Drosophila melanogaster: one gene and its partners. The main gene of each other region encodes a partner of the protein of the gene in region 2 in a complex. Each region holds a gene or a part of one and is shown on either strand. Other genes may lie near its edges.

Region 1 (3,753 bases), 580 kb from region 2:
GTCGAAGATCTGAGCACGGACTCCACTTGGGTCTATCGCAAGCACTCCGGCACGGACTCCAATCGCGGAAGTCGTCGTCGGCGCAATGTCTTTGCCAACGACGAGGTGATATCCAAGATACAAGCCCACTTGGAGAAGCCTCTTTCGCCGCCGAGTGTGGTCAGTCGCGGACTCAGCAAGAGCATGGAGATACCCACTCCGGTTAGCAACCTCAGTGATCTCAAGCAGCAGCCGGTGGAGCAGGCGGAGCTCGGCATTCTAGACTCCCAGCTGGTGGAGTCCATTATCGATGGCGACGGCCACCTTGCCGCCGATGAGGATGACGATGACGACGAAGAGCGGGGACCACGCACTTGCTGCGAGCGCATCGAGATGTACCTGGACATCAGTCTGCTGCAGGACCCGAGCTTTATCCTGATGTGCCTATCCGTCACCTTGATGTCCGTCGGCTGTCCCTACATGTTGTACTATCTGCCCGCCCACGTTATTTCAATAGGTATACTATTTAAAATGTTCAAAGTATATTCTTTCGGCGTACGATTTTAAATATTATAAACTTGGTTCATCTTTAGGATACAATAAAAGTGAGGCGGGATACCTGGTGGCCATCAGCGCGGTCCTAGATTTAATTGGGCGCCTTGGACTTGGCTGGCTGTGCGACCTGCAGCTATTCGATCGCAAGAAGACCTACACCTTGTGGTGAGTACCAGATAAGGTTTATTTTTCGATCCAAACTAATCACATTTCCCTATATCGACAGCATTTTGGGCGCCGGATGTGCCGTGCTCACAATTCCCTTCGCCAAGACTCTGGTTTTGGTGGGTCTATCGGCCGCTGTCTACGGACTTTGCCTGGGTAGCTGGTATGTACTTATGCCGGTCCTCCTTGCGGACGTCTTTGGCACGGACAGGATCAGCTCGAGCTACGGGCTGGTGAGGATGTTCCAGAGCATCGGGGCCATATCGGTGCCTCCGCTGGCAGGACTGATGCGAGACCTTTCCGGAGACTACGAGATATGCTTCTACTGCATGGGATCCTGCATGGTGCTCGGGACCACTCCGCTGATTGTGTGGTCCATCCTGGAGGCCCGCAACCATCGGTTGTTTGTTCAGCGCGAGGAGGAGGAGTGCGAGGAGGCCTAGAAATGATTCGGATTCGTTGGTTGCCCCATATGTTAATAGTGTTTTAGTAGCGATCAAATACTAGTTGAGTTCCTGAGTTTCAGAGTTCGAATGCCTCACCGATATTGCTGATTCTACCAGTTACTATTACTACTATCCGTACGTTCTCATCCGTATCTTTGTATCTTAATCAATCCCCATGCCCACCCGCACCCAATCGCTTGTTATCCTTCCGTTGAGCAACAGCAAAAGGATGTGTAAGATGATGATATTCAAACGAAGAAACCAAACAACCTAAACAACCAACAACTGAGCACCAAATGTTGCGCAAAAAGAACTGAGTTTAAAAGACATGAACTACAAATACCCGTATATAACTTTATAATATGATAACTACGATCAATGCCCGACTAGATGGTTATATAGGCCGACTATAGTTGTAGGTTCGCACATCCATATCGGAAAGGACTAAACTTTGTGCAGGAAAAATTAAGTGGCTTTAGACAGAAGGGAGGCTTGAATGGAGAACATCACATTACATTACCCTAGAATTAAAATAGTTGTTGTGAGACATTTACCCATAAAGACAATTACCAAATAAACACGAAATCAAAAGGTTAATCGCGTTTTATGGAATTAAAGGGAATGATTTCGCTTGGTTTGGGTTTTGCATTCGTTTATGTTATTAAATAAAGTCCTTTCTTTTTTTATTCGTAATAAAAACGGATTTTTCAACCACGTTTAAAAAATTTTTTTTATGAATGAATTTATCTCTTTTTAAAGAAAAACATTTTGTTTTATTAGGCTGTGAATAGGCTGTTATAACGCTGTTGAAACAGTGAGAATAATATACTCGAATCGATAGTACCGAAAAATATCGATATTGTTCCATCTCCACTGCATTGACGTTCATTTTTTCGCGTCCCTAAAGCGACTTTGTGCACAATTCGCAAAAAATTAAGACTAAAGTAAAGTAAAAAGTAAGAAAGTAAACTTCGCACCGCTCCATATAAATTTAACCGCTGCTTGACAAGGATCAACTGCGAACATGGATCTCAGTGGTCCACAAACTCTGAACAACATACTTCAGCCCGACGAGTTGAAACTCGTGCCGGAAGACGTCCAGAAGAAATTGTCGGAGTACATCAACAATTTCTCAGATGAGTACTGCAAGAACCGTGCGGCCGCCAATCGGTTGGGTAAGTTTTTATATTTGTATATATACTAAAATGCGCCATATTTTGCAAATAACCCTTTATTTGCATGCGTATGCTTTTACCTCCAACTTTGCGGCGTTTACCGGCTCAGATACCGCTTCTTGTAATAAGCAATCCGCGACTGTATGGTTTCTAGCGTGGTAAACACTCTTGCGCCATTTACATATTTTTTGTATAGAAATTTAAATATAAAATTCCGGGTTGTTGCAATTAAAAACAATGGCTGCTTGCAGCAACATTATTTTCCTTATTAATTTTCACCTCACCGGTGTGGTAACACTGGCCGGACATTTTCCCACCAAAACAGTTGATTAGTCCGAGTTTGAAATCTTCAGGGAATTTCTGTGTATTCATTTTAATCCAAATACTTTGTGGTTACTTAAATCCAGTTAAGAAGATTATTTATTTTTGCCCTTTTCACAGCCGAAGCCGAGCAAAAAAAGGAAGAGCTGGAGAACAAAATGGAGGACTATCTAGTAAAATTTACCAGCTTTGAGTTAAATGTAAACGAGCTGCGCACTCATCTAGATCAGATGTCTTCGGAACGAGTTAACCTAATGGACACGATCGCCAAAGGCGAGCAAACTATATCACAGTTGCGCAAGGAAAAGGCGTCGGTAGTTGAAGAACGCGATTCGATGATGAAGGTAATCGAGCGCCAACAAGCGGAGCTGGAACGATTGAAGCAGGATCTGCACACCTACCAGCAGCAGCTGAGCAGCGCGATTGCTGCCAAGTGCGAAGCCATTGCTCGCGTGGACGAAATTCAAAGTAAGGAAGTGGCTCTGGAGCTCAAAGAGAACCGCATGGAAAGCGAACGCGATATGCTGCACAAGGAGATTTTGTTAATCAGCGGAGATCTGAACAAAAGCAACGCCGAGTTACAGAACATCCGACGGGAGCACACAATAAACACCATGCAGCTACAGTCTTGCCTTAAAGAAAAGACCGAATCGCTAAAGCTGATGCAGGAACAGTACGAACAGGCCGTCAAGACCATCGGGGAACTAACCAGCAAGATTGAAATGCAAAACGACACCGCCTTCAAGCAGAACCAGGCCACGGAAGAGTATGTGGGGAAGCTGAAAAAGGAACTTGATGCCAAAGAGAAGCTTTTTGAAATCTTTAAGAGCACCGAATCCGATCATCTGATCCAACGGGAGGAACTCCTACAGGGCATCTCCGAAATTAAACGTTTGTTAGAGGAGGCCGAAGAGCAGTGCGCCCAGTTGACGGAGCAAATGGAAACCATGAAGCAAAAGCACAGCGCTGAGTTGGACGAGCAAAATAAGAAGATTCAGGCTATGGAACAGGAGCTAGCAAGTGCCAACGATTTGCTAAAACAGGCCCGGGAAAGTAATTTGGAAAGCGCCATATGCCAGTTGGCTCCCAGTGCGGCTGTGGCTAGTCGCCTT
Region 2 (3,753 bases):
GATGTGCGGCCACTCCAATGAGTCTAATTCGGTTACGGCCAGCTGCAGTTCGAGTATGGTATCGGGCTCAAATGACCAGGTGGTCTCGGTGCCACTGTCGCCGCCTCTGAAGCTGGAGGAGTTGCCACGCCGACTTCGCGACTACGTAAGAAAGGACAACCATGTTTACAACGAAGAGTTGAAGATGCAACGCTTTAAGCGTGGCAACAGCGGTCACGGCAATGCGTTTGTCAGCCGGCACAACTTTGATGGCGATGGTGACGAGGACGACAAGGCGCCGCCGCCGCCCGGAGGATGTGGAGGCAATGGACTGGGCATGAACATCAACCGCTTCGTCTTCTGAGAAAGCGACAGCCAGGATAGCGAGCACACCGGAGGCCACTAGAACATATACTTGTCTACTTTATGAAACACGCGCATACTAATCGAAATGTTACATACATATATATATAGCACGTTCACAACCAATCGAGATATATGCGCCTACGTATATCGAAGTGTATGAGAAACGCGCTTACCGATCGCTTGTTCGCTACCTCCTTGAGTTGTTGTCGATGTTTTCTAAATTGTTTCTTCCTTTTCTCCTTGATCCTTCGGCCCGTTGCCCCAAAAATCATTATACTCATCCACTCATACGAACGCAAACTATTATTGTATTTCCATTTACAAAATTGTTATAATTTTTTTGTTTTTGTTAACACAAACCTAGTTGTAGAACGTGCATATATGCGAACACAAACATATTTAATTATAAAAATTAAAAAAAAAAAAAAACAATAGAATTAGCCAGAAATAGGAGCGATATACTTGAATCCGAAGACCACTAACTTCCAAAACACTAAACCAGAAATAATGTCTGCACCCTAGTTTTTAACGCACAGCTCGAAATTAAATCATATCTCGAGTTGCAATCGAACTAGCAAGAAGCTACAAAACAAGATAATCGCGGCATTGACTTGTATAGATCGAGATCGTTTATAGATCGGGCTATAACCCTCGGATCGTATTATTAGTTTCACTGTTAATTTTAGCAAATTTCAAAAAATTTGCGCATGTGCGACACGAATTTGTAATTGATATATATAAATGTATCTCTTTGGATCTGGTGAGCAGAGGTTGCGATGAATTTTGAACGTTATTGCAATTAAATTGGAATAATTTCAAGGAAATTTGTATATGGTGTATGTCTATTGATAACCAAAATCTATACTATGCTATGCTATAAGTGTATCAATAAAGAAAAGAACAAGCCCAAAGAGTGTTTAATTATTAGAGTCACGAAAGAGTTTAATGTGAAAACAACAAAAATAGTATCCATTCATGGAAGTTACTATATCAAAAAGAAAAGCAATGATCAGAAAGGAGGATATTATATTCAGTTCAAACATTAGAGAGGAGGCGTAAACTAGAATTAAAAACTTGACAGGATTATTGAAGTGGCGAATTGATTTTCTTGCCGCCAAATTTCAAATTATAGCGTACTAATAATCAAAAGTCGGGCCTAAGACTATCGATAATTTAGACCGCGCGGCAGTGTTACCAAATTAATAAGGGAAATTCAAGTGTTGTTGTCAGCAAGGGTGAGAGCCCATTTACAATCTGGTAACACTGCTAGAAAGCGCCAAAATTTTACGTTTATTAGGATTAAGACTAATTTTATTACAATAAAATAGAATTGTACAAATTCCGGCCCCTAGGAAAGGCAACCCAAACTGTGCGGCAAAGTAACGTCCTTGAGAATACCGCATCATGTCGTTCTTCGGATCCAACACGTCGCTGGGAGCAACAAGCACGCCGGCCAAAAGTGAGTTTCCGTAAACAAGACCTCATGCCCTTTTCTCCAAATATTTGTGGGGTCCATTTCCACTTGGTGGAGGCTTCAGCAGCTTCTTGGCGTCCTGCAGGCTGTGGATGCGGATGTCTTTGGGATCTATGCTGGATGTGGGACGGGCTACATGGTGTCAGTGTTCTTATGTGGCCAGACAAAGATGCTCACCCCTTCTTGTGGACCACATAGGCGACGTATCCCACAAAACCTAGCAGGAGGATCAGCAATATAAAAACCAGAGCCATTTTCCACGACCAGCAGGCGACCAGAGCTTGAAGCAAACTAAGGGCAGCTTCTGTAGTATTTTGGAACCCGAAATCTCAGATAAGAATCCAAGGCAGAAGCATAGTTTTCAAAACACTGACCCATTTCTGGTCTTCTTATCTCTTTTGTTCAGCAACCGGTGGCCTCTTCGGATCGCCGTTTGGAGGCACAGCTGCAACCAGCCAGCCAGCACCCGCTTTCGGAGCACAGGCCACATCGACTCCGGCTTTTGGCGCCCAACCGGCGACTTCTGCCTTCGGAGCAGGTTCCGCCTTTGGAGCAACCGCTGCAGCCCCGGCTTTTGGAGCCGCCACAGGAACTTCTGCCTTTGGCGGCTCCGCCTTTGGCAGTACTCCGGCATTTGGTGCGGCGACAACCACAACTGCGGGCACGGGTTTGGGAGGAGGCGGTTTCGGCGGATTTGGAGCAGCTCCGGCAACAAGTCAGGCCGGTCTGTTCGGCGCTCCAGCGACTAGTGCAGCACCACCAGCTTTTAGCGGATTCGGCCAACAGGCAGCTGCGAGTACAGCGCCAGCAAGTGGATTTTCAGGCTTTGGCACAACCACAACGTCGGCACCTGCTTTTGGTGGCTTTGGCACCAGCCAGTCCACTGGCTTTGGGGGCGGAGCCTTCGGATCCAGTAAGTTAAATAAGCCCATTTGTCTTTCTGTGGTATTCCTAACCTGGTTTATGTTTCAGCGTTCGGAAAACCAGCGAATACAACAGTTACGCCGGGATTTGGTGGATTCGGAGGCACCAGTTTTATGCTTGGACAGCCGCAACAGCAGCCAGCGCCCATATCGGCTGACGAGGCGTTTGCCCAATCCATTCTGAATGTATCCATTTTCGGGGATGAACGGGACAAAATAGTGGCCAAATGGAACTACTTGCAGGCTACGTGGGGCACTGGGAAAATGTTTTACTCCCAGAGTGCGGCACCGGTAGACATTACGCCGGAGAACGTGATGTGCCGGTTCAAGGCCATAGGCTACAGTCGTATGCCGGGCAAGGATAACAAGTTGGGACTGGTGGCTCTTAACTTCTGCAGAGAACTCTCAGCTGTCAAGTAAGTCTTAGTGCTTGTCTACATCATGGCATAGGTATTAATTCATTTTATTTTAGGCCACACCAGCAACAAGTGATTCAAACGCTTCACAGTTTATTCGGCAGCAAGCCCAACATGCTTGTTCACATAGATTCCATCAAGGAGTTGGAGAACAAAAAGTGCCAAATTGTTATTTATGTCGAGGAGAAACTTCAACATGCTCCCAACGAAAGCAAGCGTATACTTGCCACCGAACTCTCAAACTACCTTAATCAGGCGACGCTGAAACCACAGCTCAATAATCTAGGTGTTGTGGAGGCTTTGGCTCTGGTATTACCCGACGAAGATCAATTGAGGGAGTACCTTGAAAATCCACCCCGCGGCGTGGATCCGCGCATGTGGCGTCAGGCCAATTCCGACAATCCAGATCCAACTTTATATATACCAGTGCCCATGGTGGGCTTTAACGACTTAAAGTGGCGCGTTAAGTGTCAGGAACAAGAAACGGACACGCATGCATTGTACATAAAGAAGGTGGAGAGTGAGCTGACAGAACTCAAGAAGCGCCATGCCACTGCCACAGCGAAGATACTTGAACATAAACGGAAACTGGCCG
Region 3 (3,753 bases), on a different chromosome or scaffold from region 2:
CATTTCGTACTTTTCGTGTTAACAATAACTATTATCGTCTTCGATCTGCGATAATAAGTATGTATTTTTGACTGCTGCAATGCACTTTTTATTTTGCACACACATATATGCACTTGATTAAATTGGGCGATCGTTTCTTTAACTTATTTTTTTCTCGAATTTTTCGGATTTTTTCCTATTACTATTTTGTATGCAGCTACTTTTTTTTAACGCTATGCTCGTCTGCCTGCAGCAGCTTTTTGTTGTTCTTGTTGCTGTTGTTGTTACGACCGCATCATCATCATCGTCGTCGCTTTCCAGCTATCGCCATCCTTGTTGCTCCTTTCGCGTGCACAGTGCGCTTGTTGTTGCTGTATTGTTGGTTGTTAGGCAGCTGCAACAAAAGTTGGTCTAGGGCGGCATGGGTGCGAGCGAGATGGCTGCGTGCCTGGAAAAAGGATCGGGATCGCTTTCCAGTATGTACTTGTAGTCGCTCTCGCGCGCTCTCCCTCTCTGTCGCTCTCTGGAAACTGGAACTCTCTTTTGCTATTTACTTAGCATATTTCACCGTAAGGCATCGTTGTTATTGTTTGTTTTGTTGTGTTTGTGTGATTCATACACGCGCGCATTAAAAAAAACGAGTTACAACAACGGCAACCATAATAACAAGAACAACAAACAGCGGGCCAAGATCATTTATTTACTTCTTTTTTTAACGTTCTTCGCTCTCGCTCGCAAACTTGGCATTTGTTTTGGTCAAATTATTATATATTATGCGCTGTAGATTGCATGGTTTTAAATTTACGGTTCGATCATCGTTTTTATATCTTTTCTGTTACTCTCTTTTAACGTTGCTTTTGTCGTGTTTTTCGTTTTCGGTTATCTCCTTTTTCGCCCGTTGGCGTCGCTTCTTTCTTGTTGTTTATCACTTTCAACTATTCATATTTCGATTGCAAGTGGAATAGTATCGTTGACCGCCACTCTTATTAACGAACTATTTGAACTCAAAAAAATGCAAAAAAAATCCACGAGCAGCGCGTTGATTACTGCGCTTCGAGTTCGAATTCGCCCTGGCGAGCAACAACAAATGACCAAAATTCTGGGGATGGCAGGCTCATCGATACTATCGGAACAGCAGCTTGGCTTCTTCGCGGTATTTGGTTATACTTTACTGGGCGGTCACACTACTGCTCGTTATCTCCCGCTTATTTTAAAATCAGGGATTGGGCTAAATGCCATCTAATTCTGCAATAAGTTTTATTGAATTTGCATTGCTTTATATAAGTCAGCCTATTAAATAGAGATATTGATTAAGAGGTAATTAATCGTCTTAAAATATTAAAGTGTAAAGATGAAAATATTTCTTATGTAAGCTATGTATAAATATAAAATACTAGGAACAACCAATTTCGATAGGATTAATTGTATAGTCCTAAGAACGACAGATAGTGTTATCAAGATCGAGGAGTTTGAATCGAGAGCTTAAAAGAGAATAAAAAGAACTTAAAAAGATTGCTACACCTATATATATATTCATATATATATAAGATAATATAAGAAGATGTTCGATTTCATTCAACAGTTTAAGGAACGCCCCAAGCATTTCCTAATTTCCTAAGAATATATGTTTACCAACTCCTGTTAACATTTTATTTATTAGGCAAATACATTCATCTCGAATGTAAAACATTAAAATTTTCAATTAAACCTGAACGATATTGTGTGGGTGGGATAGCCATTGCGGTATTTTTTTCGCGCCATTTTCAGATTTGCGTTATCGATTACCGGCAATCGCTTGACGGCAATATTGTAACAACAAAGCACACATTCGCTCTCATTCAGCTAAAAAAGAAACTAAAAACCTTAAACTATATTCGATCGATGGCAGAACCCCGTCCCGGCGGCTACAACTACAAGACATTATTGTGAGTAAAAGTTCGTTCATCAAAGGCAGAGCGATGTCAACTATAGTTCCATACGAATCCCCAGATGCAGAAACATTCCGGAGCTATTTTTGGACAAATATGTGGCGCGTTCGCACTTTGGACGTTTTGGAACCCTCGTAAACTTCGTCCTGCGTCCGCGGCGAATGACCTGCACCGTAAGCTATGCCAGCGAGGACGAGGCGGCGCGGGCGCTTCTCGATGGCGCCAGCTTTCAGGGTCACCTGTTTGATATATCCTATGCTGATAACGAGACGGCGCCGGCACAGAAAACGGAGGAGTGGGTGGATCCTGACATTCAGGCGGAGTTGAGTGCACTGCAGTCGGGCTGGCGCAATGAGTATGGGTCGGGCAAGCCGATAAAAAAACCACAAAATGGCAGCAGTGGTAGCGGTGGCAGTTCAATGCTGCCTGCCATACCAGTTGGGCCCGCAACGGCGCCGGTGAGCAGAGATCGTACGCCTGCCCAGCTCAGGGATCTTGAGAACATGATGCGCAGACCCGCCCATACAAGCGAGGAGAAGTTCAGCGTGCTGGATGCCCGCGATAAGCTGCTCCGGTTGAACCGAACGCAACACAAGCTGTCCGGTGCCACCCAGGGTCACTGCGCCGATATGTGTCCGGAAAAGGAGCGCGTGCTGAGAGAATTCCAGCGCCAGGTAGCCTACTATGAACTACAACCGGGCTCCGATGAGCTAATCTGTCACGAAAGAGCCCTGAAGCAGTACTCGCGCAGCAGTGCCGACCAGGAGACGCCACTGCCGCATGAACTGCGCAATGAGACTGCCCTGCACATGACCATGAGCTATCTAATGCATGAGATCATGGACATTAGCGAGCGCCAGGATCCGCAAAGCCATATGGGCGATTGGTTCCACTTCGTTTGGGATCGCACGAGGTCCATCCGAAAGGAGATCACCCAGCAGGAGCTATGCTCTCTGGGCGCTGTGAAGCTGGTGGAGCAGTGCGCCCGGTTTCACATTCATTGCGCCGCCCGTCTGGTTGACGCCGATCCCAGCGTCTTTGACAGCAAGATCAACGCCGAGAATCTAACCAAATGCCTGCAGACTCTGAAGTACATGTACCATGACCTGCGGATTAAGGGCGTTCCATGTCCCAAAGAGGCGGAATTCCGGGGCTACATTGTGTTGCTCAATCTGGCCGATGCCAACTTTCTCTGGGACATCGGTCAGCTGCCCGCGGAACTGCAGAGTTGTCCCGAAGTGCGTCAAGCCATTCAGTTCTACTTGGCCCTGCAGGACACGAATTTTGTGCGGTTCTTTCAGCTGCTGGCTGACAAGGATACCAGCTACCTGAGTGCCTGCATCCTAGTCAATTACTTTACGCGACTGCGCGTGCTGGGGTTGCATCGTCTGATCCAGGCGTATAGGTCTCCGCGGAAGGATGAGGTGTCTTCGCTGCCTCTCAGCTACATCGCCGAGCTGCTGAGCTTTGCCAGCGAACAGGAGGCGGCGGATTTTGTCCAACACTATGGCCTGCAGATCAACGAGGCGGGCAGAGTTGTGCTAAGCAGAATGCACACGGTGGAGACGGAGTACAAGCTGCCGCGACAGTATGAGGTAAGTAAATGGTTTTCTTTTTTTTGTTTTATTAATTTGATTTTTATTATCCACTTCCAGTTGGTGGAAGTGAAACGCGTGAAGAGCGTGGGCGAAGTCGTCAGTGGGGAACCTTTACCACCACGAGACCTCTACCTCAATCACCGACCGCACAATAGCTTCGACGATTATGGAATGCTTAAGAGCATTGCATGGACGGCCAAGGATCAGCTGGCTGGCATGCAGCAAGAGGAGATGCAGCCACAAATGCC

What was found.
Region 1: Nup54 (region 2) and Mgtor share a complex: the UniProt entries of both Drosophila melanogaster proteins name them as parts of the nuclear pore complex.
Region 3: Nup54 (region 2) and xmas share a complex: the UniProt entries of both Drosophila melanogaster proteins name them as parts of the nuclear pore complex.

The regions. Positions count from the first base shown.
Region 1 is NT_033778.4:11,850,587-11,854,339, forward strand, and holds the start of Mgtor (megator), read left to right. Parts: upstream 1-2,030; 5' UTR 2,031-2,169; coding exon 2,170-2,320; intron 2,321-2,761; coding exon 2,762-3,753. Other genes in the region: Sln (silnoon), read left to right, coding at 1-496, 573-699, 761-1,142. UniProt on the Drosophila melanogaster protein: Component of the nuclear pore complex (NPC), a complex required for the trafficking across the nuclear envelope. Functions as a scaffolding element in the nuclear phase of the NPC.
Region 2 is NT_033778.4:12,428,933-12,432,685, reverse strand, and holds the start of Nup54 (nucleoporin 54kD), read left to right. Parts: upstream 1-1,586; 5' UTR 1,587-1,749; coding exon 1,750-1,804; exon of another isoform or gene 1,805-1,826; coding exon of another isoform or gene 1,827-1,935; intron 1,936-1,996; coding exon of another isoform or gene 1,997-2,073; exon of another isoform or gene 2,074-2,091; intron 2,092-2,225; coding exon 2,226-2,732; intron 2,733-2,791; coding exon 2,792-3,158; intron 3,159-3,214; coding exon 3,215-3,753. Other genes in the region: DUBAI (deubiquitinating apoptotic inhibitor), read left to right, coding at 1-343; CG43204 (uncharacterized protein), read right to left, coding at 1,827-1,935, 1,997-2,073. UniProt on the Drosophila melanogaster protein: Component of the nuclear pore complex (NPC), a complex required for the trafficking across the nuclear envelope. Essential for the nuclear import of nuclear localization signal (NLS)-containing proteins in an importin alpha/importin beta-dependent manner.
Region 3 is NC_004354.4:17,157,322-17,161,074, reverse strand, and holds the start of xmas (xmas), read left to right. Parts: upstream 1-1,768; 5' UTR 1,769-1,860; coding exon 1,861-1,904; intron 1,905-1,968; coding exon 1,969-3,502; intron 3,503-3,562; coding exon 3,563-3,753. UniProt on the Drosophila melanogaster protein: Involved in mRNA export and mRNA coupled transcription activation.